Linked DNA regions of Alligator mississippiensis. The main gene of each other region encodes a partner of the protein of the gene in region 4 in a complex. Links are inferred from orthologs where the notes say so. Each region holds a gene or a part of one and is shown on either strand. Other genes may lie near its edges. The genes, in order: NCAPH2, NCAPG, NCAPH and SMC2.

Region 1 (7,822 bases), on a different chromosome or scaffold from region 4:
CACCCAAAACCCCTGCCAGGAAGGGGGTACAAGAGGCCGGGGCTGGAGACGGTATCTCTTACGCTGGGCCGATGGTCCTTCCTCATGTTCACATTATCTGCAGACGCATCCTGAATGTCATCCAGCGAGAGGAACTGTGCGGAGAGAAACGAAGAGCGCTGAGCAGGCCAGCGGCGGAGGGTCTGGAGAGCTGGATGGAGACGGCACGTCTGGGACGCCGACAGGCGGGTTTGCCAGTATCCACTCTGAGCCCCCAAAGAGCTCTTGCACCCGGCCAAGAGCACCGGACAGTCCACAAGAAGCTCCTGACAGCCTAGGACGACCTTGGACCTCCCTGCATGCCTCCCCGAAGCAGCGAGGGCTCGCCTGCCCCACGCCGGCCATCCTACCTCTTCCTCCTCCGTCCCGGTCCTAACAGTGGCGTCGGCATCGTGGCCGTCCTCTCCCACGGACGCAGGCTGCTTGTCCCGCCTGGGTCAGGAGGGAAAACAAGAGAGTGCAGGCATCTGAAACTGTCGCTGTCAGCAGAGAAGTTCCCTGGGGCTGCGACTGGGGCATCGGTGCGACCCCAACCAACGACACTGAGGAAGTCACGGCCCGTCTCCCCCAGCTCCAGGGCAGGCAACGCATGCAGCTACCAGGCATGTCTGGCCCTTCCCATGAGCAAACGTGTCAGAGACAGGCCTGGCCTCAGTTGCTGTTAAAGAGTCCAGGAGGGCAAACGAAGAGGGCGAGTCCCCCGATGGGCATGTGGCTTCTCCAGGGACAGCCAACGCTGAGCCTTCCCCCAGCAAAGGGCACAGCTGGCAGCGGGGCCACAGCCTGCCGCGCTGGAGGCAGGCCTGTACCAGGGTCTCTCCCTGCTGGCAGACGGGGCAGAGGTGCCGGGTGCCCACAAAACGCGCCAGACACACACCCATGGAGGCAGCTCCATGCGAGAGAAGCTAGCTGCAGTCCCCGGTGGCCCGTGGCATCAGGCTGCAGCATGGGCTGGTCCACCAGGATGCTTCAGAGCCAGGAAACGGGACGGGGAGGGAAGCAGAGACCAGGTCTGGCTCCATGACAGTCACCGTCACGCAGCTGCAGCAGCTCCAATGCCCCAGACACCGCCGGGCCCAACCCAACAGAGCGCAGCAAGGGTCCATCCCGGCGTAGAGGCGCCGGCTCTGACACAGCAGGTTTCACTGGGGAAGTCGGCTGCAGGGCAGGAGCCCAGCGCCAGTTTCACACCAGGGCGGTGAGAGCCTCGCCCTTCCGGGCTTTCGGTAAGAGCCGCAGCTGCCACCAGCCCCAAGACAACGTGGGGGAGCGCCTCGGGCAGCGCTGGGGACAGCCAGGGGCACGTGGCAAGGGGGAAGCTCCCAGAGACGCCTGGCACAGCACCGAAGCAGGCCTGTTCTGCCAATGAGGGGCGTTGGGCCCCCAACACGGCTGTCGTTGCCGCAACGCAAGGCCACGATCCTGGATCCGTGCCAGGGGGTCCCAAAGGGAACCATGGATGCCCACGAGCCTCGTGCAGCGCTGCATCGCCCGGGGATCAGCAGCTCCAGGGGAGCAGACCCCACGCCTGGAGCTGGGCGTCAGCACACGGTGGGGCACTGGCCCCCAGTTTTGCCAGCGCCTCCTTCCCCGGACCCGGCAGGTCACTTTGCTGCCAACCACAAACCAGAGGCAGCTTCTCCCCCCGCCAAGGGCAGCGAGTGCTGCAGGGACCGGTTCAACCCCGCGCCACGCTGCAAGGCCCTGGCTCGGAAGAAGCTCAGGGAGGGCAAAGGACCGCGCCGGCGAGGCACGGATCCGCCGTCCAAGCCGGCTGCAGGGGCGTTGGGGGAGCCCCCAGCACTGAGCCCAGTTGGCAGGAGAGGCCCCTCGGGCCCTGACTTACTTCTTGTTGGAGATGAAGTCGAGGGCCTGGTAGACCAGCGAGTAGAGATATTCCACCTGCCGGGATAAAGTGACGGGTCTGAGGGCTGGGCCCTGCGGCTGCCCGTCTTCTCCACCAACGCAGCCCCTGGAAGGGGTTTTCTCCCGGGCGGCCGATCCCTGGACTCGGCTTCCGCAGAGCGAGGCCGGGGCTGGAGGCAGCCACGCGTGGCCCCTGGCGAAGCTCCCTGCGGCCTGGCCTCGCTCCGGGCGCTCACCTTCTTGCTGTAGATGCAGGCGGAGCCCTGGATGAGCAGCGCCGCCTCGATGAAGTTCATGGTGGTCCTGCCGCCGTCGAAGGAGATGCAGATCTGGTCCAGCTGCGGGGAAAAGAGGAGCAGGGGCTGCTGGCCGCGGCGGGCAGGAGCGGCACGGACGCGCGGCCCGGTCCAGCGGGCTCTCCGCGCGCCGCGACCCCCACCCCGCCGCGCCGCGCCGCACCACCGCGTGTCCGCACCTCCTCCAGGTACTCGCCCAGCTGCGCCGCCACGTCCACCTCCCAGTTCTTGGTGAGGTCGCGGATGGGCTGCAGCAGGTGCAGGAAGCGCGACTCCGCGTCGTCCATCGCGCCGGCCGGCGGGGCGGGGGCAGGGGTGGGGCGGCTCCGTCTCCCTCTCACCCGTGTGCTGCCATCAGGGGCGGGGCACTGCTGGAGGGGGGGAAGCAAGGTGAGGGCTCAGCACCACACGCGTGTGCATGCACACGGGGACTCCCGCTGCAGGGGGTGGGGGTGCCAGGGGGTCTGCCGGAAATGGGGGGAGGGGGGATAGGGGGCCTGGGCTGTTCCATGAAGTATGGTGGGGGTCCGGGCTGTACCATGGGGTGGGGTGGGGGGCCTGGACCATACCACGGGGCACCCCAGGCTGTACCATGAGGCAGTGGGGGGGGGGTTGTGCGGTCCGGACTGTACCATGGGGCTGCGGGGGTTCTTTTGGGGGGTACCACTGCACCGTGGGGGGGGGGGGGCGCGGACCGCACCACGCACTCACCGGCACTGGGAGGGGTGGAGCGCGCTCCCGTCGGCCCCCGCGCGGCGGCCGTTTCGCGCTTCCCGCGCGAGAGTGACGTATACCGCGCGCTGACGTGTTCGGGGCGGGGCGGAGGGCAGGGGGCGTGTCCTGCGCGGGCCCCGCCCCGCCGGCCCGAGGCGCGGCGGCCGTTTGGCGCTTCCCGCGCGAGGTTGACGTGCGCCGCGCGCTGACGTGTACGAGGCGGGGCGGAGCGGGGCGGTGGGGGCGTGTCCTGCGCGGGCCCCGCCCCGTCGGCGGGCGGCTCCCGGAGCTGTGCAGCGCCGCGCACCGCCATGGGCGACCCCGCGGGCCTGGCCCGCCGCCTGCTGCTGGCCGGCATCGCCGCCGCCTACCTCGCCGCCTTCGCCTCGCTCTACCGCCAGCTGCCCGGTACGGGGGGGGGGGCACTGCACTGTGTACATGGGGGGGCGGTGCAGTGCAGTGCAGTGCAGTGCAGTACACACTGCAGTGCGGTGCAGTGCACGCTAGGGGGGTGGGGTGGGGTGGGGCAGGGGGAGGGGGTGTGCACGGTGCTGCACGCCCGCCCTGACGCGGTGGCGGTGTGCTGTGCGCAGGGCTGTACGGGCGGGACGGGGTGCTGCCGGCGCGCCGCACGCTGCGCTTCACGGGCCGGGCGCTGCGGGAGCAGCTGCGCGACGCGCCCACGCTGCTGTGGCTCGGGCCGCGCCTGGGGCTGGACACGGAGCAGGGCATGGAGCTGCTGTGCCTGCTGGGCGTGCTGGCCTCCTTCGGCGCCCTGGTGTGCGACCGCCTGCGCGACGCCCTCGTCTTCCTGCTGCTCTGGGCGCTCTACCTCTCGCTCTACCAGGTACGTGCCCCCAGACCCGCCCCACGACCGCACGCCTCCGTCAGGCTCGCACGCTGCTTCACACACGCACATACGTTTATAGCTTCGCACGTGGGCACACACCCGTGCACGTGGTTTGGCATACACATACGCACGCCTGGTTCAAACACGCGCACGTGCACAGTTCTAGCCTATTTAAAACTCGTGCACACACGTGGTTCTAGCCTAGCACGCACGCAGTTGTAGCCTGTTTAACACCATCACCACGCAGAGTAGTAGTTTGTTTAACACACGCGTGCACAGTTTGAGCCTGTTTAAAACACACAATTCTGGGCTGTTTAACGTGTGCATAACATGCGCGCACACGCAGCGCTAGCCTGTTTAACATGTACGCAACTCTATCCTGGTGCGCACGTGTTTAACACGCATTCACACGGTTACAGTGTGTTTGACATGTGCACCGCAGCGTCCGGGGCTTTGTAACGTGTGCACGCGGGTTTGGCCTGTGGAAGCGCTGTCTGGCTCTGAGGAGCTGGCGGGGGGGGGGGTGAGTCAGCTGCTGGGAGCAGGGGGGGGCAGTTTCTCTTCCTCGCGAAACCGAAGGAAATAAGCTCCGGACACGTCAAGCTCATGCTGCAGCCTGCTGCGAGCTCCCTGCAGGGCAGTGGCTGCGTTAGCCCCCACGGCGCCCGGGTGCAGCAAGGCCTGCGCGAGATCTGGGCCCAGCAGCACTGAACCCCCCTGGGTCCGAGTGCCCTGCCTCTTCCCAGCTGCAGCTGAGCCCCGCCCCCCCCCCCCCCCCCCGCCAGGCGTTCCCCTTGGGGCAGGGAGCCTGGGCCGCGTGGTGCAGGGGCTGCCGAGCCGTGGGGCTGGGGGTGCCCCCTCCGGAGCTCCCCCAGAGCCTGCGTTTCCCTCCTCCGGGCTGGGCTGGGCACTCGCTGCGTCTGCCCTTTTAAGGGGAGGCTGGAGAGAGACTTCCTCCCAGCTCCCTCCCTCCGGAGCAGCTGCAGCGATCGGTCTGCGGGCAGGGCCCGGGGGCCGTGCAGCACAAGCTGCCCCCGCGGATGCCCTTTGCCCCCCAGCTGCAGCCTCTCGCACCCTCGGGCCTCTCCAGAACGGACGGGAATGACTAAACCTGTCCCGGGCGCTAGGCCAGAGCCGGGCGGCTCCTCTTGCTGCCGCTCCTGGTACGGCCCGGCCCTGGCACACCGGCCGCAGGCACCGTCTTTCTCTGGGCTGGCCTTGGCCCCGTCCTTGGGTTTGGCCCGGCTCCAGGGAGCTGGGTGATATCCTGGCGACGGAGCCAGACGTCTCTGTCTCCCTGTTCGCCCTGTGCCTTCTGGAGGGGTGGGGGGCACCTTTCTCCGTGCCTGCTCACCCTGGCCCTCCCTCTCTCCGCAGGTGGGGCAGGTGTTCCTGTACTTCCAGTGGTAAGTGCTGCCCGTGCTGGCCTGTCCGCATGCACGCGTGTACATGTGTGTGCACACACGTGGGAGCTGGGCCTTGGGGCTGCCTGGCACCCTCGCTGCCCAGAGTTCGTAGCAAAGCTGGAGTTGTCCCAGGCCAAGCAGCCCCTTGATCCCAGCAACGCGCTGCCCCCCACCCGGGCGGGGAGGAGAAGGGAGGGGAATGACGCTTCACATCCTACGTGTGGCCTGGGGCTGTGGAGATGTGACGTGGGAGCCAGGACGTGGCTGTCGCGGCCTCCCGCAGCTCCACAAGCGAGGTCAAGGCTGCATTTGGACCCGGGCTGCAGCGACGGAGGCATTTGGGGCTCCGGCATGGGGGCTTCAGGGGCCCTTGCTCTGAGGCGAGGCAGGAACGTGGACTCCAGAAGCAGTGAGGAACACGGCTCCTGTCCTAGCAGCTCTGTGCCCCCACCAAGGCCTGAGTGCCCGGTCGTGGGGGGCAACCCTGTGTGACTGCCCCTCTGCCAGCACATGCCTTTATCGGCTCCTCCAGGGCCGGGGTCTCCGGCAGGCGCTGGATATTGTCCTCCGGCCGAAGCTCCCTAGCTTTGACCCCTGGGTATGTCCCCTCTTCTCCCCGCAGGGACAGCCTGCTCCTGGAGATCGGCTTCCTGGCCGTGCTGGTGGCTCCGCTGCACCTGCTGAAGTGGCGCAGCACGGCCTGGCGCCCCCACGACGGGCTCCCGTTCTGGCTGATGCGCTGGCTGCTCTTCCGGCTCATGTTCGCCTCGGGCGTGGTGAAGCTGACCAGTCGCTGCCCTACCTGGTGGGGGCTCACAGGTGAGGGCCCCGCTTTCCCCTTCAGGGCCACCCGGGCAGGCCCTGGTGCTGGTAGCAGAGTCCCAGCCCCTGCACCCACTGGGCCGTGCTGCCCCTCCGGGGTTTTGCCTTCCTCTGCAGCGGGGGCACGGCGTCGGCCTGGGATCTCTGCAACATCCATGACCCCCCTGGCAGCAGCAGGATGTTGGCAGCCCCCTTGTATGGCGGGGGCAATGCCTGGGGCTGTGTCATGTAGCTCCAAGGCCGCGCACAGTGTTTGTCCGGGCTGGTTTGGACAGGGCTGATCCTGTCTCAGGCAGGGCTTGGACGGGATGCGACCTCGCAGCTCCTTGCCAGCCCCGTAACTCTAGGACTCCGATTGTATGGCCTGGTCTGTGGGTGGTGTCCCTCCGTCTGCCCCCGCACCCTGCCCCTCTCCTGCTCCAGACCCTCTCGCTACCCTCCGTGCCAGGCACCTGCCCCGCTCTGACCGCCTGCCCCGGGGGCCCGCTGTGTGCCCGCAGCCCTGACCTACCACTACGAGACGCAGTGCATCCCCACGCCAGCTGCCTGGTACGCCCACCAGCTGCCCGTCTGGTTCCAGAAGCTCAGCGTCGTGGCCACCTACGTCATCGAGATCGCCGTGCCGCCCCTCTTCTTCGCGCCCATCCGCCGCCTCCGCCTCTTCGCCTTCTACTGCCAGGTGCGTGGTCCAGCTGGGCCTGGGGGCTCCGGGGCCCTGTGCCTGCCCCATGGGCTGTGTGGGTCCCAGCCTCGCTGCAGGGGACAGACTGATGCCTGAGGGTCTGTGGGCAAAAGCAGGGTCCTGCTGTCATCTACACCCTCTGAGGCTCGGAGCCACGGAGCCGGGCTGAATGCAAAGCAGGCCTGTCCCTCACGCTCCAGCCCCAGGCATCTCCCTGCACCACAGTCCTGGCCTTGTGGTCCCTGGCGCCAGCAGGAGGAGGGTCCTGCGGCTGCCGCCTGCATGTCTGGGCAGCAGAGATTGAATGGGGCTGGGAGGCCATGCAGCAATCAGTGCCATGCAGAGCTCCTACCCTGCAGGGTCTGGGTGGGAGGGGGCGCCCCAGCCCCCAGGAAGGTGTCAGGGGGCTTCTGGTACGGTGCCCCCGCCCTGGCTCTGAGCTCCCAGGGTCCCTACAGGTCTTGCTGCAGGTGCTGATCATCCTCACGGGCAACTACAACTTCTTCAACCTGCTCACCATCGTCCTGGCCTTCTCACTGCTGGACGACGAGCACGTGGGGCTTTGGCTGGGGCGCAGCCGCAAGAGGCACGGCACCGGTGAGTCCCTTGTGGGGAGGAGGAGATTCTCCTCTGGGTTCAGCGCCCCCAATTCCTGGGTATGGGTGCAGGGGTGGGTCCTTTTCCCCGTGCAGCTAGGGGAGTTGTGGGAGGAGTGCGTGGCTGGATAGAGCATTGCCAGCCCAGCTCAAGCAGCCATCGCTAGGTTTCAGAGTCAACGCCCCACACAGAGGGCTTGCGTTTCAGACACTGGCGGGTAGCTCTGTGTTGGCAGCGTTCAGCCGTCGTGACGCGGCTTGTCCCATCTCCTCCCCGCAGCCTGGCCGCCAAGCCTGTCCTCCTTCCTCTCCGCGCTGGTGGAGCTCACGGTCTACGGGCTGCTGCTCTACGGGACCGTCCTGTACTTCGGCCTGGGCATCAACTGGGAGAAGCAGCACGTTGAATCCAAGATCGGTATGGCACTGCCCCCCTCGCTGCAGGGCGGGCCCTGCTAAGTCCAACACCTGGGCCTGCGTGCCCCCTCGAACCCCAGGACACTAGCAGGATGCAACCCCTAGCAGCCCCTGGGTTTCACCATGCTGGGAGAGCC
Region 2 (7,643 bases), on a different chromosome or scaffold from region 4:
CTTCCATGTTGTGGCATTGTTAATACCTCTGCAAAGTGGGAATGTTTGTGGTTCAGATTTTGTACTGGTTTGCACTCATATCGCATTCATGCTATATAGATGGAAAGGATTAAGCAAGATGTTAAGGAGGGGAAAAAATCAGGCCTACTACAACTAAACTGTTCATATTAAGATTCTATTTAAAAGTGGGCCTCTAAGAACATGTTACTAAAACATCTAGTTTTGTCCATTTGGCTAGGCAATTGATAGATATATATAAAAAAACAATTTTAGCTTAAATTGTGTTAACTGAGTTAAACTACCAAATATACCACCCAAAATAGCAGCTGCCTGCAAGAGAGCTTCACTTCTGCCTTGATCTTAAAAGAAAGAGAGGGTAGATCAGAAGACCTTTCTTACTCCCATACCGTGAACCTAAATAGAAAAATGTGGGAAGAACAAAAGTTGTAGAAGAGAAGGGTACAAATCATAGAGAAAGTTGTAGACCAATACAGAAGAGGAGAAAATAGGAAAATGAGAGTATGGTATAGGTAGAAACCACATGGCTGAAAGAGAAATTTTTGCTGGGGCAGGAAAAGATTAAGAGTAGAATTTTTGATGGTGGAGGAAATGAGGGAAATATTATAAAAACAAGAAGAGAAGCTAATTTAGTTTGGAAAAAAGAAGATTTTGATGTTGTTGAAAAAAGACACACACAAAATAAACAGTATGAGAAAAAATTAGATTGTAGAAAAAATATAGAAAAGCAGAGGATTACCTAACTACACGTAAAATTAATTCCTTGGGTTTCTGATGTTCCTTCATTGCACCTGTATGATGGTGCTGGCTAAGAGACAGATATAGCAAATAAAGGAAAGAGGACAACAATAAACTCTTTCATAGATTAATTCAAAATTGCAAAGTATGTCTGGGAACTAAATTGCTAACTAGGGTTTTCCCCCTAAATCTTAGTGGTACCAATTTCCATATCCATCCATGTTTAGTAGATATAGTTTTCAAACCCTTAAAAAGAGTGAATCAGAATGTCTATTGTTTAATTTTAAATTATTTACTTTGCTAGTGTGGAGAAAGTAGGTGAATCTTTAAATCAGGTGAAAGATTAGGGAAATAGTGGGGGAAGAGCAGCTTAGGTAAGTGAGATCACACATTTCTTCTCTGGCAATTTAGGAAATATAAACAAACCTAACAGTGACTAGGCTGTGACCTTATTTAAAACTTAGTGCTTCAGTGGATTTCCTGTAGCCTACTATTCTCAAATTAAAAATGCTCCTGTGTAAAGATTAAGTAAGTGTTTATTGTTTGGGGGTGGAAGACTTACAAAACCATGAAGGCTGCTGGTAAAATTCAAATGTAAACCTGGAAAGTTAAAGTGAGGTTTTCTGTTGGAACTTTCAAACTCAAATTAATGGGACAATGAGCATCAACAGTGTCAAGCTGGTCCCTTCTATTCTTCATCTCTGGAGACCCATTATGTTTGTAACAGAGAGATGTTTTGGTAAAGAATCTGTTGCCTGCAACTGTGGTTATATTAAATGTATTCTATTTAATTTGTCTATGGAGCTGAGGAGCTCATGGAGTATGCAGCTCTAATTTGGTATGGCTTTGTTTGTAAGCCTCACGTATAATTTACCTTCAGTTGCAGTAACTATGTGTTTGCAGAGTTACATTATATGATAGGCCAAGAAAACGTTTGTATTATATTAAGGTTGGGGGCATAAACTAGATTAGTTGTGGATAGCAGCAAATATGTGCCTCACTATCCTGAAGCAATGGGGGAGGGGTGCATTAACAAGAAAATAGGACTTAAATCTAATTTTTTTTCTATCCATCTGGCTCTGCCAGGACTTCTGGTTTTCAAAACATGAGAGGATTTTTTTTATTTTTTTCTGTTTCCTTTAAGATTATGTCTTCAACTAGCCTGCTAAATTAGCACTCAGGTTTTATAACCTTAAATTGTTTTATATTAGTACAAACCTAAACTTGTTATGTCACTAAAGCCATATTGTTTCCAGACACTTGCTGTATATATTCATCCCAAAACTTCTAATTTTGCAACCCAATTTGAGTTCAGTTAATAGTAAAGATGCCCTTGCAAAGACAGTTGAATCATCCCAACCCTTTATACAATACAGCTTAATGTGGTATCGCTTTAAGTTACAGGTAAATGCATGGTCATTATCTTAACATAGTCTCACAGGAGGATTTTCACTCTTCTAATAGCAAGAGTTGCCCAAGCTACCCTCTCCAGCTTCTACCCACACCTCCCTCCTAATCTAAATACCAGGTATGAGGTTGCCAGCTCCAGGACTTCAAAACCAGCAAGTCAAATCCCTTGCCTCATGTTTCTGGGTTTTGTGTACATGCCTCCTTTATTTTTGAGAGATAAAGGTTGTAGTCATGTTGGTCTGAAACCAAAAGCAGTCAGCATGGCAGAGGCAATATCTTTTATTACACCATCTAGATAGTTGCAAAAAAAAAAATCTTTATTTTCAAGCTTTCAGGCTCACATACCTTCCTCAGGCAAAGGAGAATACAAAGATTCTAAAATTTCTCCCATTATCTTTGAGCTTTTAAACCAGGGGTTGACAACATTTTTGGGCAGAGTGCCAAAAACACCTCCACTTGTAAGATGCTGGTGTGCCAGGTACAGATGGCGGGGAAGCCATGAAGGGCCCAATCCTTGTTGTGGCAGCGCAGCCCCAGCCCCTTCCCCCAGGTGTGCATGCTAAGCAGAATGCCTTTGCGTGCCATGCTGTGGCACCCATGCTGGGGGTTGCCTACCCCTGATTTAAACAGTGATTCTTAACCCAGGAGTTGTGGAACCATGGGGTGCCTGAGGTGTAACGAGAGGTAAGTGCAGGTTCAGGCTCGTCCCTGCCTGGCTAATCCCTCCCTGCCTGCCTACTGCCTGGTCCTCCACAAAGAGGTAGCGCTGTAATAGATAAACTAGTTAACTGTGTGGCCCTGCATTTCAACAACAGGTATTGAGGGGCACCTCAACTCCAAAAGGGTTGAGAACCACAGCTGCAAGATCTCATCCATCAAAGCTGGGAGGAGAAGGACTTGGCTTGCTAAGGCTAGAAAAGATATCACAGAATGGAGCAGAGCTGCAATGTGTTGCGGCACAGCTGACTTGCTTCATTGGGTGAAGTGTATATCTTTCCTTGTCTGGCACCATTAGGGGCAGAACAAGGGGCAATGCCTTCCCCAGACCTGCGCTGTGGGTTTGGGACAGTGGGGGAAAGTGCTTCTCCCCTCAGCCAGCCCCTTGCACCTGGCTGGGTGGACTAAACATCTACTGCAGGGACATGAGAGATACTACAGGCACTACTGAGTCTGACTAAAGCTGGACAGAAACCAGCTAGAAAGTTGTTGCACCCTTTCAAGCACTAACTTTGTAGTTGACTCTTTTTCTAGCTGGGCTCCATGATGGTTACTTTGCCTGTGCGGCGGGTCTAAACTCATGGTGGGATGGAGCAGTGATTTGCAGATATGTGTAGTGTGGCGCCACCTGTTGCATACTCCTGCCACGGTGCAAGGGTTTGAAAATTGTATCTACTCAACAAGGGTACATATTGAAATTAGTACCACTAAGATTCAGGGGAAAAACCCTAGTTAGCAATTTAGTTCCCTGACAATTTTTCAATAGGATTGTTTGCAATAGTAAAGTTGATAATGAGCTCTTGCAGAATCATAGTCAGGGTCTGACCAGTATGGAACAACATATGCATATGATATGTGTTCAGGCAGTGCAGTGTGTACATGCATGCATTGCTGTATAACATATATTAGAAATAAGAAAAAGTGAATGTATTTGACTTTTTTTCCTTTAAGTCTCACAATGCAAGCAGCCATGAAGTTAGATTTTGAGTGTGCCAGCTTGTTAATAAACTTTTGGAAAATATGCCACAAAATGCCCAGATCGATGATGAATTGTTTGATAAATTAATGAACCCAAGCTGATTAGACTGAAGGATACATTTCCAGATGTGAGAATCCAGGCTGTACCGGCACTGTCTAGACTTCAGGATCCCAAGGATGAGAGCTGCTCTGTTGTTAATGGTGAGTGCTCTGACTTTTGGCATCGTATTTGCTTCCTTTCCCTTCCAATAAGCACATTAATATCTGTCATCTAAGGTTTTCCTTTTTTACATGAACTAAACTTTACAACCTATTAAAAATAATTATTTCATTTACTAATTGTGAAAATGCTACAGAAAACATGTTTTACATTGTCATTACAGAATTTTTTACAATAAAATTTTTGAAAGAGTCGATTGTCGCCCCCCTCCCTGTATTTTCTCTTTTCCAGCACCATCATGCAGGTGCAATGAAGGCACATCGGAAGCCGGGAAACTAATTTTGCATGTAGCTAGGTACGTAATCCTCTGCTTTTCTATATTTTTCTAAAACCTAATTGTTTCTCATATTGGGTTGTTGGGTTTTTCTGGTCTTTTTTTTCAACAACATGAAAAGCTTCTCTTTTTCCAAACCAAATTAGCTTCTCTCCTGCCCCGCGGCCGGCGAGCTTGGAGGCGGCGCGAGCGAAACAAGAGGCCACCTCGCCCGCACCCTCGGGAGAACCCCACAGCCTGGCCCCGCCCGCTTCTGTTCTCGCGAGATTGGCGCGGCCTCACGTGATGCGTTTGAAGCGGGCGCGCGGGGGCCGTTGGGCGGTGGCCGTTGGCGGGTCGTGGCAGCCATGGGTGCAGATGCGGAGCTGTTGTCGATCCGCGACGCCTTCGCGCTGGCGCAGAAGCCGCAGCAGAGCCAGGCGAAGCTGGTGGCGGCCTTGAGGCGGACCTACGCGCAGGTGAGCGACGGGCCCGGGTTCCAGGGCCGATGCATGGGGAGCTCGGGCCCCGCCGTCACACATGAGGTGCCCGGGCGCCGCCCCGTCCCGCCCGCCGGAGGCAGTTGGATGGGAAGCTTGATTAATACTCTTGGGCTGCGGTTCCTACACTCTTGACAGGTTGCGCACCGCCAATTTAAATCGATACAGCGTGAAGTACCGTCAGCACATTTTTTGTCATCGTAAAGTAATTATCGTGCATGTGTTAACATGTGCCACTGGTGGTGCCCGTGCCACAGACTGGGAACCACTGCCCTGGGGGCCTGGTGGCTAATTAAGCTGGGCACTGCTCGCAGGGGGCAGGGCTAGGGTCTGCACTCGGCATCACCGTTTGCTGCCGATGAGGCAAGGCTTGGCGCTGGGCTGGTGTGGCCCAGGCAGCGCTGCCCACGGGATGGGGCCATGCCAGGTGAGCACTGAGCATAGCCTTGTCCCCATCCCCTGTGAGCGGTGCTGGGTTCGACACTAGTCTGGCGTGGCCCCGTCTCCTGTGAGTGGTGCTGCCTGGGCCGTGGCAGCCGAGCACCGAGTCTGGTGCTGCTTGCAAGGAACAGGGCTGGGCTTGGTGCTCGGCAGCGCTACTCACAGTAGACAGGGCCGGTCTCGGGGCTTGGCTGGTGCAGCCCTATCCCCTGCGAATGGCGCCAGGCTCAGTTCTTCTCTGGCACAGCCTAGGCAGTGCCACTTGCGGGGGATGAGGTTGTGCCAGCCAAGCCCAGTCCTGTCCCGTGTGAGCGGCGCTGTGGCATGTCTCTGCCTCTCTTCCCCCCCCCCCCCCCCCCCCCCCCAATTTCTGATCTAAAAAAGTTAGGTTGGCTTATACACTGGATCTATGAAATCTGTAACATTTTGGATCAGAAAAATGGGGTTGACTTAGACACTATGTTGATGTATATACAGTTGAAATACAGTAATTATTATTCAGGATGCCTGTGTAAATGATTCTCTTGGCCTGTTTTCATGCAAGTCAAAACCAGTTTTAAACCAGTGGTCTGTTTTTAGCGTAAGGATCTAAATTGGGGTGGGCTGCCCATAACCCAGATCTGGCTGCACAGTGATTTTTATCCTGCCCACCAAGTGTGTTTGCGTGAGAATGTGCCAGTCCAGTGGCTGCCTCTGTCACCTCATGCCTCTAGCCCAAGGAGACCTGTGCTGTATTAACTTGGTGTCTGGTTGCCGAAAGGTTGCACACACCTCAAACAGTTGCTACTTGTTTGAGAGACTCTTTCTCATGTTCTGTGGGTATGCCTGCAGGTGCTCATTAATATATTGTACTAGATGAATCATTTCCCTTCACTCATTCACAAATCACTGTGATTGCTATCTTTCAGCTGGATGAGAAGAAAAATTTTCATGAGGAGTTTCTTAATTTCCTTAAATATCCAATGGTAGTTTACAAGCGGGAACCCGCAGTAGAGCAAGTGATAAATTTTGCAGCTAAGTTCATAAGTTCACTCTATCAAGCAAATGAAGAGGGTGTTACTGAGGAAGAGGAAAACAATTCACTTCTGAATTACTCGTTTAACTTCCTACTTAAGGTATGATAACAGCTTTTATTCAATTATTAATCATAGAAGATTAAGGTTGGAAGGGACCTCAGGAGATCAACTGATCTAGTCCAGCCCTTTGCTCAAAGCAGGACTGTTCATCTACAGCATCCCAGATAAGGCTACCCAGGTCTTTAAAAATCTCAAAGGATCGAGATTCTACAACCTGTTGGTAACCTGTTCCAGTACTTTACTACCTTCCTTGTGAGAGCTTTTCTGAAGATCTAACCTAAACTTCTCTTGCTGCAACTGGAGCAGTCTAGCTCCATCCTGGAACAGAAACAGTCTGGCTCCAGCCTCTTTGTAAGTACCTTTTAGGTAGTTGGAGATTGCTATTAAATCCTCCCTCAGTTTTCTCTTCTCCAGACTAATGTGATGGTCAAACGTGGATCAGGTTGAGACTGGTCAAAACTTGTCAATTTTTACTGGCACAGCTTTGTTGGTTAGAGATGTGTTGGGCTTTTTCTTTTGCTGTTTTGGTGTGCTATTAAAGACCAAATGTAAATTTAGTTTAGCAGTTCTCAGCCTTTTAAGGCACTCCTTGGAAAATGTCAGCTCTTAGTTTTCCTTAGCCAAAAACCAAGTGACAAATAATATAGCAGTTTTTCTCTAGCAGAGAATTAGAGAAGACTACAGCATGTCATAATGGTTTGGACACTGGATTCCTATTTGAAATCTCTGGGTTTATCTTGCGAATCATGTTTGTATACCTAAACAGTGCTAACATTGTGTAGAACCCAGGGCAGCCTTGAAAGGATCAAAAGGCACTCCAGGGTACCATGACACCCTGTTTGATAATCAGTGATGTTGTTTATAAGCAGCTTTACACACTTATACAAGTATAGCTCTGGTTGATGAACCAGCAGAAGTTTTACAGATATAAGCACTTCTGTAAACTCCTGTCTGTGTACTAGAAAGGTAAGGCTGGCTTATAGTGCAATGGGCATGTCTACATGTGCTGATTTTTAAGGTGCATCAGCCATTTTTACGACTCATTAAGGGTGTAGGTCTACACATATGCACCCTTAATGTGCCTTTAAAAATGGTGATTTTAGGCAATTCATGCCTAAATTTGATACCTGCAAAAGCAGGTATCAAATATAGGCACAAATAGTTAAAGCACCTTAACATACATTTAGACGCTTTAAGGGGTATTAATGCTGTGTATGTCGACTGGCTTGGGACTAACTTTAGTCCCAAGTCGGTCTGCACACCATGTTAATGCGCCTTAGCAAGTGCATGTG
Region 3 (7,796 bases), on a different chromosome or scaffold from region 4:
TGAGAACTCTGGAGGAGCCCTCCCTGGTGCACATCTCCAAAGGCCAAGCACAGCTGTGCAGCTACTTTAAATGGATGCTGTAAAACACTGCAACAAAAACAATAAATGTTATGCTGTTCAGCAGGGATCCAGGTTTTCCATTTCTCTTGGAAAAACCCAGCTTTTTCCCTTTGAAGCGGGAAACTCTTGAGTTTCCCCTTGCAGGCTAGCAGAGTTCTGGCCTGCTAGGTGCTGCTGGTAGCTGGGGGAAGTGGGGGGAGAACAATCAGTGGCAGGGGGTGCCACAAGCGTGTGCTTGTGTGCGGTGGCTGGCAATACAGCTATGCAGGGTGATGGGAGCAGCCCTGGTAACTGGAAAAAAGTAAGTCTATGGGATGGAGGCAGGATGGAGAGTCAGGACTTGGGGAGTGTTTTGGCATGGTCCAGGCACACCCACTGGCAACATCAGGGAGGGGCACATGCTCCCCCACAGATTTCTGCATGGACAGCAGGGTGTGGGGCACAGGGCTGCAGCCTAGTCAGACTGGCACTAGGCAGAAGCTGTCCCTGTAGCCCAGCAAGCAGAACTCAGCATGGGAGGGCAGAGTAGGGTGGGGAGACTCGATGCTGCTGTCACTGCTGCAGCCAGAAGTCCTGCACTAGCTGCACTGCCTAGGTGGGAAGCCTTTTGCAAGTCCAGCAGCAGTGGGGACGCGCAACTCTGTACTGCCCCCACTGCTGCTGGGTAGGCAGGTGGTGCCTCGATACAGCAATGCAGCTGGTATGGGGTTGCTTTCTGGCGGTGGAGTGGCAGCAGCACCTAGTCTCTCCACCCCACTCTGTCCTCCTGCGCTGGGTCCTGCCCACTGCACCAGGGAGGCTCCCAGGGGAAGGGCAGCAGGGCAGGGAGCACCAAGCCCCCCAGCAGGCAGTCTACAACCCCCCTTCCCCCCCCATTTCACTCAGCTCCACTCCCAGCCACAGACAGAGAAGGGGCCCAGGCTCTGCGCTCTTCCCTCCACTGGGGCCACAACAACTGGGTTTTCTGGTACTACTGGCTGGCTGCAGCTGGTGCTTGCAAGGCAGGGAGTGAGCAGGATGCAGCCCAGGCAGCTGCGGGGGGGACAGGGGCTGTAGGTGGGGAGTGAGGAACACTGGCAGGGACAGGGGCTACATGTCACAACGGACACTGGTGAGGAGGGGGAGGGGGCAGTTGGGAGTGAGGGGCATGGGTAGGGCTGGTGGGACAGGGAATTGTGGGTTGGGAGTGACAGGGCACCAGCAGGACTGGGGGCTGTGGCTTGGGAGTGAGGGGCAACGGCACAGGCAGGGGCAGGGCACTGCCATATCAGGGTTGCTCAGCACCACAAAAGAGCAGAGGGGAATATCCACAGCTGGACCTGCATCCTGATCAGTGAAAGAGGCAGAGGAAACTGATTTTTTTATGATAAAAATACCAAAATCAAATGCCAAAATATATAGGTATTTAGAATTTATTTTATCAATGATTAAGGCACTGGTAGGTTTCCAAATTGCTTTAAAATTGTAAATATCTCAATAAAACATTGTGTTCAACTGATACCTATATAGTGGTACTTCATTTTAAGTGTGGAAAAACATGGATTTGGGGGGGGGGGGGGGGGTTAATTAGCAAATTTTGGATTTTTTAACAAAGAAAACCAAGATCCATGTGATCAGTGATTGGAGTCACACAGTAAGGGATACAGACTGGGGACTGACTGAATAAGGAGCAGCTCTGCAGGAAAGGACCTTGGGGTTACAATGGACAATAGGCTGAATATGAGCCAGCAGCGTGCCCTTGTTGTCAAGAAAGCTAAGGCATACTGGGCTGCATTAGTAGGAGCATTGCAGCAGATCAAGGGAAGTGAGTCCTTCCCTCTATTCAGCACTGGTGAGGCCATATTTAGAGTACAGGCAGTCAACACAATTGGTTCTTGCAAACCCTGTCTTACATCCAAATTTTGTAACTCAGAACCAATTTTCTCATAAGAAACAATGTTATAAATGGGGGATTGGTTCCTAAACCAAGGCCCAATACCCTATTTTCACCAAAAATACCCCAGAATTTTGTACTCATTCAATTATAGATGAGTAATATAGCTACATTAATGTATGTATATTGTAAATAGCAATCATATTGATTTGGAAGGACTTCTCTGAAGTGACTTTGCTGGACTTTTTGAAAGGCTCTTGGTTGGACTTTTTGAAGGGTTCTTGGCTGAAGTCCTCTCGGGAGTCTTGACTGCAGGTTTTTCTGGAGTCTTCGCTGCTTTCTTAAAGAAAGTGCCCAAGGAAGTTTGGCCAGATGTTCTCCAGGGAGATGAGTGATGCAGTGAACTTGTTTGCTGGCATGGCGTCACATTGGATCAAGTGTTGTAAAGTCGAAACTGGTGCTGTAAAGTTGAAACAGGGTGTCGATTTATGTTGTAAGTGTGAAACATTGTAGTTCGAAACATTGTTAGTAGAGGACTGCCTGTACTGTGTTCTGTTTTGGAACCCTCACTACAGAAAATACGTGGAATAATTGGCAACAAAAATGGTTAATGGGCTGGGGGACATGATTTATGAAGAGAGGCTAAGGGAACTGAATTTACTTAATCTGTAGAAGAGAAGACTGAGATGGATTTTAATAGCAGCCTTCAACTACCTGAAGGTTGGTTCCAAAGAGAATGGAGCTAGACCAGGAGTGGGCAAAATGGTGGATCCAGGTGGCTAGACTCCAGCACAACGGCTATGAGGAGGTGCATGTCCCTGCCTTAAAGCCCAAGCTCTTTGGCTCAGAGGAGGTAGATGACCCAGCCCTGTCCCACTGGGTTGGTGGTGGAAGGGTTAGGTTACCCAGCATTCCTTGCTGCCACTTCATAAGGCACCTGCCCTACCAGTGACTTTTTCAGTCTCAGCACAAAGCTGAGTGGTATGAGGGGCAGCCTCTAAAGCAGGGGTGGGCGAAGTCCAGTTCATGGGCTGGATCTGCATGGCAGTGGATTCCATTTCCCAGCAGCCCCTGCCCAAGTGGCTGGGGCCAGTTTCCACAGAGACCCCAGCAGTAGCCCTGCAGGCCTGGGGTTTCCTTGGAGACCAGCCCCAGCAGCCTGGGCAGGGCACACAGCAAGGCAGGGACCATGCTGGGATCTTGCAGCAGTGACAGTGTGGTCAAGAGCCACGGCACAGCTGTGATCTGCAGCCTGCGTGCTCCAAGCAGAGGCATGCAAGCAGCAAATCACAGCTCTGCTGCAGCTCCAGACCATGCTATCACCACTGCAAGAAGGCAAGGCAGAGCCACGATCCACTGTCTGCACGCCCCTGCCCGGAGCATGCAGGCAACAGACTGCAGCTCTGCCGTGGCTCTGGACCACGGCATCACCGCTGCAAGATCCCAGCCTGGCTGGTCTCCATGGAAACCCCAACCCCAGACTATCACAGCCAGGCTGCTGCTGGAGTTTCCATAGAAACTGGCCCCAGCCATGCAGGCAGGGTCTGCTGGGAAATGGAGTCTACTGCCAGCCAGATTTCGCCTGTGACCCAAATTCTGCCTGCCCCCGAGCTAGAATGTTTTCAGCGGTGGCAGATGACAGAACAAGGAGCAATGGTGTCAAGTTGCAGCAAGGGAAATTAAGGTTAGATATTAGGACAAACTCTCACCAGTAGGGTAGTAAAATGCTGGAACAGGCTACTCAGCGAGGTGGCAGAATCTCCATCCTTAGAGGTTTTCAAGACCTGAGTAGAGAAAGCCTTGGCTGGGATGATCTAGTTGGGGCTAGTCTCACAGTGTGAGTTCGTGCCTGGTGCGCTTTTGCCAATAAACACACAGGGGTGGAGGATCCAACTTAATCTTTATTGTTTCAAGTCTGCGCAGAGAGGGGTGCTTGGCAATCATTTGCAAAGCAAGCACCACCGGTTTCTACCTTTGGGTACCTTTTATACATATGTTTGCAAGTGTATCGCTCAGTGATTGGTTACAAGCCACTGACATAAGACGTTCTCTACTGAGCATGTCTCTATACCTATGTTTTAGCCATGTATTTCATTTACATACATATATGTTTCATTAACATACTTTTGCTCTGCCCAGGGGTGTGATTTTTAGCATTATAATGAGACCTTTTTTTGAACTTCTTGCTATCTTACAGGTGTCAGGGAGACGTTATCCTGCTGGTGTTAGGGAGGCACTCCAGGAATCCTCCGAATCCCACACGCTGTGCTTTGCAAGCATCTCTTAACACACACATACCACACCCCTCCCAGCATCTGCAAGTTGCCTTAAGTATTGGGTTAGATATAGTTTACAGACGCTAGATATACCATAAAAAAGAGTACATAAAAAGATTACATCAGTTGGACTAGATGTGACCTCCTGAGGTCCCTTCCCACCCGCATTTGAGGTCATGAAGGAATTTTACCCCATCATCAGATTGGTGCGGATTAAGGGGCAGGGGCGGGGAATTGCCTTGCTTTGAAGCAGGGGCCGTGGCGGTCTACCTGGCACCCTGGTTAAGAGTCACTCGTGCAGTCCCTTGTTGACCACAGCACTGCTGTCTGCCTCTGCCACCTCCCGTGGCCACGAGTCCCAGAAATTAACCCCATGCAGTGCCTCTTGTACGTTGTAAAACCGTCTCTTTCTTGCAACCTGGGACTTGGTGAACAACAGCACCCTGTTTGTCATTGTAGTTTGTCATAACTAAAATATATAATTGTAACAGCATTCAAATTGTACTTACCTGAAAGGATAAGGAGGGCTGCCCTGCACAGGGGCGGTGTGAAGAGACAGAGTTTGCCTCAGCCCTCGCCGCACAAAATGGCGGCCGAACGCAACAAGATGACGCCGCTCGCTGCGGGCAATGCGCACAACATGGCGGCCGGCGTTGGGACTTCCGCTACCGCAGGCCACACCCCCCCTGACGCCAGAGCCGTTACCAGCGTGATTACGCCATCCGCTCGGCGCCTGCGCGGTGGGGTGGCGCGCGTTTTTTTGAACAGAGAAGAATCGGATGATCGGGTGAAGTTGAGTTTTTGCTGCTGCAGCGGAGCACGTGAGTGGGGCCGGGGCCGGGGCCGGGGCCGGGCCGGGGCCGATCAGGTGTGACGGGCGGGCGGGAGAGTGCGAGTGCCGCGAGCTAAACGTGGGGGGGGGGCAGTGATACCTCACTCACTGTCCGGCAAGACCTCCACGCTGATTGGCCGGGAGGCGGGAACATGCTGAGAGTTCCCTGCTGGTTGGCTGGCAGGTGGCTAGTGGCCGAGGCGCTCTTGCTGCGGGTCCCGCCCGACCCTTTGCTTGTGCTTGTGGCAGGGCCGTATTTCCTTGTGTATCTGCACTGAAATGACCAACCGCGGAACTGGGGGAGGAATGTGTATTTGCGAGGCAACACTGTAGTGGGGCCGTGTTTCCTTGTGTATCTGTGCACTAGTGCAGGTTCCAGCTACCGGATTGGGGTAAGAAGGTGTGTCTGCAAGGAAATACGGTACTGGAGGGGGCGCCCTTAAATTTTGAAATACCGTGGGGAGGGCAGGGTACATGTCACTAAATTGGGAGAAGCTGCAAGGAAATACGATAGTGGGGTCCATATTTCCTTATATATCTGCACACTGCAATTTCTAGCCACTGTATTGGAGGGGGGAGGGGTGATGTGTTTGCAAGGAAGTAGTGTAGGTGGGGGTTGCTTTGGGGAGGAGGGCAAGTTGCCCTTGTAGGTGAGGTCTGTGGAGTTTCACTGGGGCAGCTGGAGGTCACTGATTCATTAAAAAAACCCTTTCTCTTTCTTCCATTCCACCCCCTCCCCTCCCAGCAGAGATGAAGAGCTCAACACCCCAGTCCGCCGGCCGCTCCCTGAGCACCGCCTCATCCTTCGATAGCGTGTTTGTGTCCCCCAGCACCCGGCCCCAGGCCCTGAGTGCCGGCAGCACCCCTGAGCTGGAGAGCTTGGCCGGCAATGATGATGAGCAGGAGAAGAAACAACGTCGGCGCTCACGCATCCTTGACCTGAAGCTCAGCAGCACCGAGTCGCCCCTTGTGGTCAAATCCCCTGCCATCAGGTAAGAGGGCTGCTGCGGGGCTCCACCCATGGGGTGAGGGCAGACACGATCCGAGGTTAAAGAGGCAGGGAAGAGATAATGGAGGGATATGATCCGGGTTTGGATGGGGAGGGGGAGTGACAGACCTGATCTTGAGTTAAGGCGGGGGAAGACGGATGAACAGACACAATATGGGGTTAAGGGGTGGGAATGATGGGGAGACATGTTGGTGGTTAAAGGGGGGTGGGGGGGAGAAATGAGCGGGGTTAAAGGGGGGCAGGGTGGACAGACAGACATGATCTGGGATGAAGGAGGAGGAGCAGGGGTGAGGGTGGGCAGACACAGATGTGATATGGGTTTAAGGGGATGGGCTGACAAGCATGATTCCGGAGTTAAGGGGTGGGGTGACCATAACTATTTTAGGAAAATCTGGGATGGGGAGGTGTGCAGGCTGGGGCCAAGACCTGCTGGGGAGCACAGTGCCTTTTCTCATCAGAACTGGGGCCGTGCTGTCAGCCGGGCTTGGTGGCACTGCAGGGGCTCTGTCTGACTCATGGCTCTGTCCCAGCACCTTCAGCTGCATCCTGGCCATGAGCAGTTGGGCAGGCAGAGCCAGCCTTGGGCTTACACCCATCTGCCTGGTTAGCTTCTGTGACAAAGGCACCATGTTCCCCAGCACATCCCAACAGCTACTCTGGCCCTATGTACTGCCATACACCTGTGCATGTGCACTCTGCCCTGCAGCTCCCAGGAGTGAGGCCAGGCAGGACAGTTTGGGACATGTGGCCAACCTATACAGGGGGCACAAACCTAATGATGGGGCTTCTTGGTTGGGGGAGATGATCTGTACCTCAGGCTGGGTTAGTGGGGTGCCTGCTATTTATCTCCTCCCTGAAGCCCTAGGCCCTCCAGAAACTCTGGGACAGACCTGGCCCAGGAACAGCAAGTTAGATGCCCCTATCACACGACACTTCCCTGTGGTGTTCTCTGGAGGTGCCCAGTGCTGAGCTCTCTAAAGCAGAGGTTCTTGTCTTTCTTCAGGCAGGCAGACACTTCTCTGCCGGTGATCCCAAGACTGACAAACGCTCAGATTTCAGATCACTACTCAACCTGCTTTAAGCTGTCTGCAGAGAATGTGAGTTCAAAGCTGTGGCTTGAGGCAGCTTTAAAGATGGCCAGCTTCTTATTCCTCGGGCTGGGAGCATTTAAAATGGATTAGTTTTAGGCAGGCACCAACGGGAGTTCAGGGATTTCTTCCTGGATTGCTGTTGGGAGTAGGCGGTTTATTTTGGGGGGGGGGGTGTGCAGAAGCATCTGTGTTGTGGATTATGAGCACTTCTGGGCTGGAACAGTCTCCCCGTCCCTAGGATGATGGGATCCTGCTCTGGGATAACTGGGGCAAGGAAATACCATCTTTTCTCTTAGACAAGGCTTGCCTTTTTTTTTTTTTTCTCCCAAAAATTGGCCCCCTCTCCCAAATTGGGATGTGTATATTAAGCAGGATGGCTGACTTTTTGCCTCGTATAGTAACACCCTGCTTTTGATTCTTGCATTACTATTCGGGCACCTGTGGTGGTCCATTGACTTAATGGCTCATTTGCTTTTCACTCCAGAGAGGATAACTCATTTCTCCGTTATAGTCATGATGTTCCACTAATCGAGCTAATCTTTCTTAGGGCAGTCTTGCTGTCTACTGCCTGCTTCGGGTCTCTCGCCTATTTCACAGCTTTGGAGACCCTTTAGCTCTCTTCAACCATAAATCCACCTATGGAGACCAGTATTCA
Region 4 (7,374 bases):
CTAGCTGGAGTTCAGTTGCAGCCTTGGCTTTCCTGGTCTGCTCCCTACAGGACCGGACCAGTGCAGAATAATCCTCCTTGGAGGTGACTCCCATCCTCCATCCTTTGTAGGCCTTTCTTTTTAGCCTCAGGAGGTCTGCTAGATCCCTGGAGAGCCAGGGGGGCTGCTGTGCCCTCTTGCTGCCTTTCCTCCGAGATGGAATAGACTTAGTTTGTGCATTGAGGATCGCTCCCTTGAGGAGCAACCACTCTTCTTGAACTCCCCTCTCCCTGCGGTCACAGTCCCTTAGGGCCTCACTGACAAGCCTCCTGAGCTTGTCAAAGTCGGCTTTCCTGAAGTCAAGGACTTGCGTGTTGCTGACCGACTTGCCAGCTTTTCGGCGGATGGTGAAGGTGATCAGCTCGTGGTTGCTGTCACCCAGCTTCCCATCGATCACTAGGTCGCCGACTAGGTCCTCCCCAGTAGCCAGCACCAGGTCGAGCAGCGCTTTGCCTCTCGTTGGCCCATAGACTTCTTGAGTCAGGTAGAGATCATCCACACACGAGAGGAAGCTCTGCGACCGCTCAGATTTTGCTGAGCGATCCTCCCACGAGATGTCTGGGTAATTGAAGTCACCCATGACAACCATGGTCCTGGAGCAAGCTGCCTCAGCCAGTTCCTGGGCAAACTCCTGGTCTAGCTCAGGACTTTGGGTGGGAGGTCTGTAATAGACTCCCACCATTGTGTCCCCTGTGCCGTGTTCCCCACGGATTTTAACCCAGAGGGTCTCCAGCCGTCCACCCTGGTCGCCAATATCGGCTTGCAGGGACGCGTAGCTTTCCTTAACATAGAGAGCTATACCCCCACCCCTTTTCTCTACACGATCCCTCCTGTACAGGGTATAGCCATCTATCCCCGTGGTCCAGTCACGGGTGGAGTCCCACCAGGTCTCTGTGATCCCTATGACATCGTAATTGTTTGCACTGAGCAGGAGGATGAGCTCCTCCTGCTTATTCCCCAAGCTCCTGGCATTTGTGTACAGGCAGGCAAGCGCCCCCTGGGGGGCTCCTTCCTTGCCCACAGATTTTACCAGGGCTGGGGCTGGGGAGGGCTCCCTTGAGTGCCATGATCCGCTGGCTTTGCAAGATTTGCTCAGCGGGCCAGCAGTGGCGGTCGTGCCCCCGTCCCCCAGCGGGCTTAGTTTAAAGCCCGGTGGAGCAGGTCAGCCAGTCTGGCTGAGAAGAGCCTCCTCCCTAGGGGAGAGAGGTGGAGACCATCTCTTCCCAGCAGCTCGCTGCCTCTCTCGCCAAAGAGCGGGCTGTGGTCATGAAAGCCAAAGCCTTCCTGACGACACCAGTGCCGCAGTCTTTGGTTGACCACATAGATCCTCCTGTCCCTTCTCAGCCCATAGCCTGAGACTGGGAGGATCGACGAGAACACCACCTGTGCCCCCAGACCCTTAAGCCCCGCTCCCAAATCCCTGTAGCGCCTCATGACCTGGCTGGGAGTGCTCCGAGCCGTGTCATTGGTGCCCACATGAATAAGGAGCATGGGATAGCGGTCTGTAGGTTTGAGGAGCTTGGGGATCCTCTCCGCAATGTCCCGGATGCGGGCCCCCGGGAAGCAGCAGACTTGCCGGGCTAAGGGGTCGGGGTGGCAGATTGGCCCCTCCGTCCCCCTCAGGAGGGAGTCTCCCACAACAAACACCTTACGTTTTGTCTTGGGGAGAGCAGGGGCGGGAGCTGCAGTTGGGCCCATGTTGCCTGTGGGGGCCGGCAACTCAGCAGGCTCTGCTGGGGCAGCAAGAGGTGCATACCTGTTGCTCAGTTGTGGCGGGGGTGGGGCCTTGGTGCGGCGGGCCTTAGGGCCCTTGACCACCTTGGTCCATGCCCCTGGCTGGACACAGCAGGAGGTCCCAGAGTCCTCCTCTGGCCTGGAGGGAGACTGTGATCTACCCTCTGCCTCCCGGGGGAGAAGGGCCTGGCAGTAGGAGTCTATCTCCTGCTCGCAGTCCCTGATGGCACGCAGTCTGTGGACTGTGGCCTGGAGCTCCTCCAGCTGGCGCACCAGAGACCCCAAAAGGGAGCAGACCCCGCAAGGGGAGGTCGCCATGCTCCCAGGCCCCAGAGCCTGAAAAAGGGACAGGCAGCCCCCGCAGCCGAGAGCCAGGGGCTCCGTCTGCATGGAGCCCGGAACCAGGGGCTCCGTCTGGGTGGCCGTCTCTGAGGTGCCAGAGGGGGGGGCCGCGGAGCCCGAGGGGACCCTCGGGGTGCGGCGCTTGCCCATCCGTGTCATGCCTCTGGTAGGCTGGCTACGGCTGGGACTGTCTACCCTGCGGGGTGCGCAGGCAGGGTCTGGCGCCCTCCCGCACGAACTCCGTGCTAACTCACGCGCCGGCAGAGAAGCGCGCCTGTTTGTGCAGCCTGTTCGCGCGGCTCCGATCGTGTGGCTCCCTGGGGGGCTGGGCCAAGTAGGGGCCTGGGCGGGGCTTGACCCGGCCCGGCTCCACTCAGCTGCCGCCTCACACACACACACTAAGGGGTTAGCCCCTTCTCTCCACGGGCCCCGCTTACCCCGGCTGCGCTGGGGGTCAGCGGGGGGCTCCGCGGCTGCTGGAGGGTTTCTGGGGGGCTTCGGGGGAGCGGGGGCACAGCGAGCTTTCACCCGCGCGTCTCTTGCCGCTCCCGCGTAATATTGAGGTGGCAATCATCAAGCACCAACTTGCTGGACTGGACATCGTATGAGGATGCTCAACTCTAGACTTCCAAAACAAGTGCTCTACTCCCAGCCTAGTTGTGGCCTGAGATCTCACAGCAACGAAGAAAATGCTACATGGACACACTGAAGGCATACCTCAGGAAAACAGATGCTGACATCAAGAACAGGGAGGAGCTGGCTGCTAACTAACTCCGACAGCACTGCAACCTCAACTGAGAAACACCCTGCACTGAAGTAAATCATCCTGTCCTGAAAAGAAGAGAGAGCAGAGGAAGGAAAAGGAGAGGAAGCCCAGACTACGGCCTACTTTCTGCTGCAGAAAGACCTGCGACTTCCATGGACACGTCTGTGGCTCAAGGGTTGGACACTTAAGTCACTTCAAGACTCATGAAAGAGCTGTGGTAGAGATCATTCTCGAAGAGAGGGATTGCTAACTAGATCAGGTCTCCCTGTAGCGATGGACAGTGATATTACTGCTCTGGCTAAAGCTAAGCCACATCCATGAGTCACTGGCCACCAAAACCAAACCAAACCAAACCAAACCAAACCAGCCTTGCATGCAGTGCTGGTAATAATCACTTTGCAGATTAAACAGATGTAATGAGATTGCTGTTTCTTTGTGTCATTGTGGTTAAATACTTGGCAGAAATACTCATTTCCTGAATTCTAACAAGTTATTGCTGTCATTTCGTTATGGCTGTTTGCTCTGTGATTATTCCTGGCATTGTACAGGGCTCCATTGTCAGCATTAGTGCTCAGGATGCAAGACTACGATCACTGCAGTGCTGTCCTGTGCTACCATGGCAGTAGCACATGGATGGAGCCAGCTACCTTCTTCAGTTTGAAGTCACAGTAGATTTGCACCTTACAGACTAGCTAAAATCAGTGACATATAGCACGAGCTCTGAAATGAGCTCAGGCTCACAAAATCTTATGCTGCACACATCGTTTCTAAGGGTCAACCCTGTCCTGCCTTCCGTAACCTATGGAGTACTGCCCTAATGGCTCAGCCTTGCGCTCAGGGCTGGGATCAATTCCCTCTGCTAACAACCCAGAGGAGACCTGCAGCGTGAATATTCCCACCACCTTTTGGCTGCTTATCTTGCCAAATCGGCTGCTTCCTGTGGCCAAATACCAGTTTCCAACACCCGTTTCCTCAATTCTGTCTTCTCTGCGCTGCCAGACGTGGCTATGCCTTGTTGAGCATCAGAGCGCTGAAACCTGAGCAGGTTTTGCCAGAAAGCTTCCCTTGAGGGACAGGCCTAAACTGTGGCACTTGCTTACGAACTAGGCCGCGCAAGGCCGGCTCGCTACAGGGGCCCCTGTGGAGGGGAAGGGGAGGGTGGCTACACCCTAGCAAAGCTGAGGCAGGAATGGGCTTTGCAGGCCGCTAGCAGCTCCGCAGCGCGAGGCTGGGGCGCTGCGGCTACATCGGCCCGCGCACGCCCTCAATCACAGCACCAGCACTGCCCCATCCCCCGCGCACGCTTCTATTCTATTCTACCCTACCCCGCCCCGCTACTGCTGTTACGTCATCCTCTTGCGCCCGCACAGCGACGGGCTCTCTCAAAGGCCCCACCCACCTGTGTCCCTAATCAGAACGCTGAGCAGGGGAGAGGGAGGGGAAGGGGGTCCTTGCTGGCTATGGCTGACACCAGTAGGTGCCTGAATCGACGGTTGTTTTTTTAGCCTTAAGAATCGATTAAAAAATTAAAAAAAAAGAAAAAAGAAAACGTGCCGAGGCGGCGGGTGGCCGCGGGAGGGAGAGGCGCTAGGGGCGTAGCTCGGTGGCCAGTTCGTCCGGCAGCGCGCGGGACAGCCGCAAACGGTCGCCTCCGCTGGGCGCCAAAATTTGAGCGAGGCGACGGACGCTGGCGGTGGCGGCGGCAGGTGAGGGGGGCTGGGTCCGCGGGCAGTGGGGTGGGGGAGCCGCCTCCGCCTTGTGGACCCCGCGGGGCTGCGGCCGCCGTTCTGAGGGCGCCCGTGCGCAGCCGGCATTAGCCGTGCACGAGTTGAGGTGCGTGCAGGTAGGCAAGGTCCTGTGGGCAGGTGTGATGTCGTTTATCAGAGCAACTAAATAGTTGGGAAATTGCTGTTTGCAAGCTTGGGGCATAAACTTCCTTCTTCAGGGTGTGTATATCTATGTGCTTGTGTGCGTGCGCATGTTTATGCGTGCGTGTGTGTGAACCCGAAAGCTTGCTTAATAACTATTCTCCAACTATTTGGGTTGGTCTAATAAAAGATATCAAATTCACCCAAGGAACCTTGTCTGCCTGTGTATATAATATGCATGCATACGTGTGTGTGTGTGTGTGTGTTTCATTTACAGCGGTGTAGGTTGTAGCCGTGTTGGTTGAAGGACATTGACAGACAAGGTTCTTTGGGCGAATCTGATATCGGAGATAACAGATTCACCCAAAGGACCTTGTCTGTCTGTTTAATTTATGAACTTGTTATTTCAGCAAACCCCTAACCATGTGTAGAGTCACGCTGCGCTCTGAATGCAGACAGGCGTCCACAACATGCACACTGTTAAAGGAAAAATAAGTCGACTTTGCCGTCTTCAGGAAGATGATTGTCTTGAGGGGTTTTTTTCCCCCAGTAGCTGTATGTCTTTGCTGAGAAACATTCATGAGGCATGAATCCATACATATTTTATTGTAAATAACAGCTTGGGGGAGAGGGCCTTTGCCCTTTGTTGGACGAATGTCAATGTAATGTTTGGGCAGCACCCTGATGACTTCCCTGCCTGAGGGAGCAGCTACCATTGTCTGTTAGGGCAGCATTGTAACCTTTTCCATTTGCTTTGTGCTTTTGATTCTGTTGAATGCACTCTGTTTTGATTTGGTCTGCTTTTATTGTTTTGAAACCTGCAGCACTATAAACTGGAGAACTTTCCTCATCCCCCTTGAAGGGAGGCTTGGCATGGTCCTTCCGAGAGACCAAAAAGATGCATGTCAAGTCAATTATCCTTGAGGGATTCAAGTCCTATGCCCAGAGGACAGAAATCAATGGCTTTGACCCACTGTTCAATGCTATCACTGGCTTAAATGGCAGCGGCAAGTCCAATATCCTGGATTCCATCTGTTTCCTGTTGGGCATCTCCAACCTATCTCAGGTAAAGAGCAAGATGAAACACACGGTTCTGAATGACCATGAGCAACAATAAAATTTCTCCCTGTTGAACAGGATCATCAGGCAGCATCCTTTTCCCCCTTCACAGAATGTGTGGCTGGCTTTACTGTTTTGTTTTGTTTTTTTAACTAAAATGAGGAAGATTGACACTTCCTCTTCTGCACTCTGTGAAGATTAAAATTTTTCAATCCAAATCGGAGGATTCTATTGAGAAGTAAAAATGATGATGTGATCATTGCTGATGCCTCATTAGCAAGATTGCTTTACAGTCAGGCATAGAGTGCGTCCTTATCAAGGAATGTTGCAGCTGCTAACAATTCTTTTTCAGATGTTTTCCAGTTTGATAAACTAATGTGAATATATAGCTTTTGTAGTTGTACTAACAAAGCAATCCATTTCTCACACCATCAGGTATGATGTTTCGCCTAAGGCAGAAGTCATTTTTACCAACCGACTGTAAACTGAATGGTGGTCCCTTTTACTTCGCTTAGTTTTTTAACATGTAAAAATAATATAATTAGCTTGTAATAATGATAGCAATTAATTAGTATGCAGTCTGCAACCTAGAGCCATGGGACAAAAGTAGCAGAAGATTGAAATCATAACGTTTTTATAAAATAGAAATACAAAAGCAGATTAGGATGCTAACTCATTTCCTTATTATGCATGTGGGAATCTCTGGAGAATACTGTTAAATGATGATTTTTTTTATTTTATTTTTTTTTTTTTAGCAAAAGAGGCTTTTTATTATTTAAAAGCAAAGAATAATAACAATATTTAATAAGTAACACTATGCACATAGTACCATTTACGTAAGTAATATGTATGTTTAGGAAGATCTGTATCTACTTTTAGAATTGCTTAAAAGTGTGGTTTAGACTCAGTAATCCATTAGAACCTCAATGAATATTTAGTATAACATCTTTACAATCTCATATAGATGCCATCATGAAGAGAGCAGTGTTTTAGACTAGACCATCTTGCTGCGTATATTTATCCATTTAATTTTTTTCATTAATTTCTTATAAAAATCTTTAATTGACATATTAAAATTGGGCTGGTCTTTTGTATATTGTTTTATACTGCAGCCTTTTTTATACCTCCACAGTTTGTTCGTTCTTGAAAGTTACTAAGGTACATAAATCTATAGCATGCCTACTTGTCAGACATTTCAGTTGACTCCCCATTTGCTATTAATACAATGACTTTGTTAATCATTCATGTCTCTTCCATATTTTCAGGTGCGAGCATCCAATTTACAAGATTTGGTTTACAAAAATGGCCAGGCTGGAATTACTAAAGCAACTGTATCAATCACCTTTGATAATTCTGACAAGAAACAAAGTCCTCTGGGATTTGAGGCTCATGATGAGATCACCGTCACCAGGCAGGTAAGCTTTTAGCCTTTATTTGTTCAGAAATGCTTACAGATTTTTTCATTCTTCTTGATAGAAACTGAATTCAAGATGCAAGTATTTGCTCTTCGTTTTAGCCACTGCATGTTATACAGCAGGGATGTGCAACTCGCAGCCTGCAAAGGTT

The links.
Region 1: the proteins of SMC2 (region 4) and NCAPH2 are in contact, whole or in part, in a cryo-EM structure (PDB 9F5W), measured with the Homo sapiens proteins. The link is inferred for Alligator mississippiensis from reciprocal best matches to the Homo sapiens genes SMC2 and NCAPH2. Residues at the interface, in NP_001036015.1 of Homo sapiens: Leu93, Thr125, Gln128, Asp129, Cys132, Gly135, Leu136, Asn137, Met173, Tyr174, Lys177, Lys178; in NP_689512.2 of Homo sapiens: Glu46, Phe53, Ile54, Glu55, Leu58, Leu59, Gly62, Ser63, Ala64, Cys65, Val66, Lys69, Tyr73.
Region 2: SMC2 (region 4) and NCAPG share a complex: the UniProt entries of both Homo sapiens proteins name them as parts of the condensin complex. The link is inferred for Alligator mississippiensis from reciprocal best matches to the Homo sapiens genes SMC2 and NCAPG.
Region 3: SMC2 (region 4) and NCAPH share a complex: the UniProt entries of both Homo sapiens proteins name them as parts of the condensin complex. The link is inferred for Alligator mississippiensis from reciprocal best matches to the Homo sapiens genes SMC2 and NCAPH.

The regions. Positions count from the first base shown.
Region 1 is NC_081827.1:1,908,924-1,916,745, forward strand, and holds the start of NCAPH2 (condensin-2 complex subunit H2), read right to left. Parts: upstream 3,002-7,822; 5' UTR 2,913-3,001; intron 2,573-2,912; 5' UTR 2,489-2,572; coding exon 2,381-2,488; intron 2,244-2,380; coding exon 2,142-2,243; intron 1,942-2,141; coding exon 1,886-1,941; intron 472-1,885; coding exon 390-471; intron 135-389; coding exon 63-134; intron 1-62. Other genes in the region: LMF2 (lipase maturation factor 2), read left to right, coding at 3,227-3,323, 3,509-3,762, 5,143-5,171, 5,794-5,990, 6,494-6,672, 7,134-7,272, 7,552-7,686. UniProt on the Homo sapiens protein: Regulatory subunit of the condensin-2 complex, a complex that seems to provide chromosomes with an additional level of organization and rigidity and in establishing mitotic chromosome architecture.
Region 2 is NC_081825.1:34,481,625-34,489,267, forward strand, and holds the start of NCAPG (condensin complex subunit 3), read left to right. Parts: upstream 1-4,640; 5' UTR 4,641-4,702; coding exon 4,703-4,813; intron 4,814-6,183; coding exon 6,184-6,390; intron 6,391-7,643. UniProt on the Homo sapiens protein: Regulatory subunit of the condensin complex, a complex required for conversion of interphase chromatin into mitotic-like condense chromosomes.
Region 3 is NC_081830.1:10,298,189-10,305,984, reverse strand, and holds the start of NCAPH (condensin complex subunit 2), read left to right. Parts: upstream 1-4,795; coding exon 4,796-5,030; intron 5,031-5,254; exon of another isoform or gene 5,255-5,441; intron 5,442-5,786; coding exon 5,787-6,033; intron 6,034-7,053; coding exon 7,054-7,147; intron 7,148-7,688; exon of another isoform or gene 7,689-7,779; coding exon of another isoform or gene 7,780-7,796. UniProt on the Homo sapiens protein: Regulatory subunit of the condensin complex, a complex required for conversion of interphase chromatin into mitotic-like condense chromosomes.
Region 4 is NC_081826.1:165,751,856-165,759,229, reverse strand, and holds the start of SMC2 (structural maintenance of chromosomes protein 2), read left to right. Parts: upstream 1-4,361; 5' UTR 4,362-4,587; intron 4,588-4,634; exon of another isoform or gene 4,635-4,714; intron 4,715-5,573; 5' UTR 5,574-5,647; coding exon 5,648-5,815; intron 5,816-7,073; coding exon 7,074-7,223; intron 7,224-7,374. UniProt on the Homo sapiens protein: Central component of the condensin complex, a complex required for conversion of interphase chromatin into mitotic-like condense chromosomes.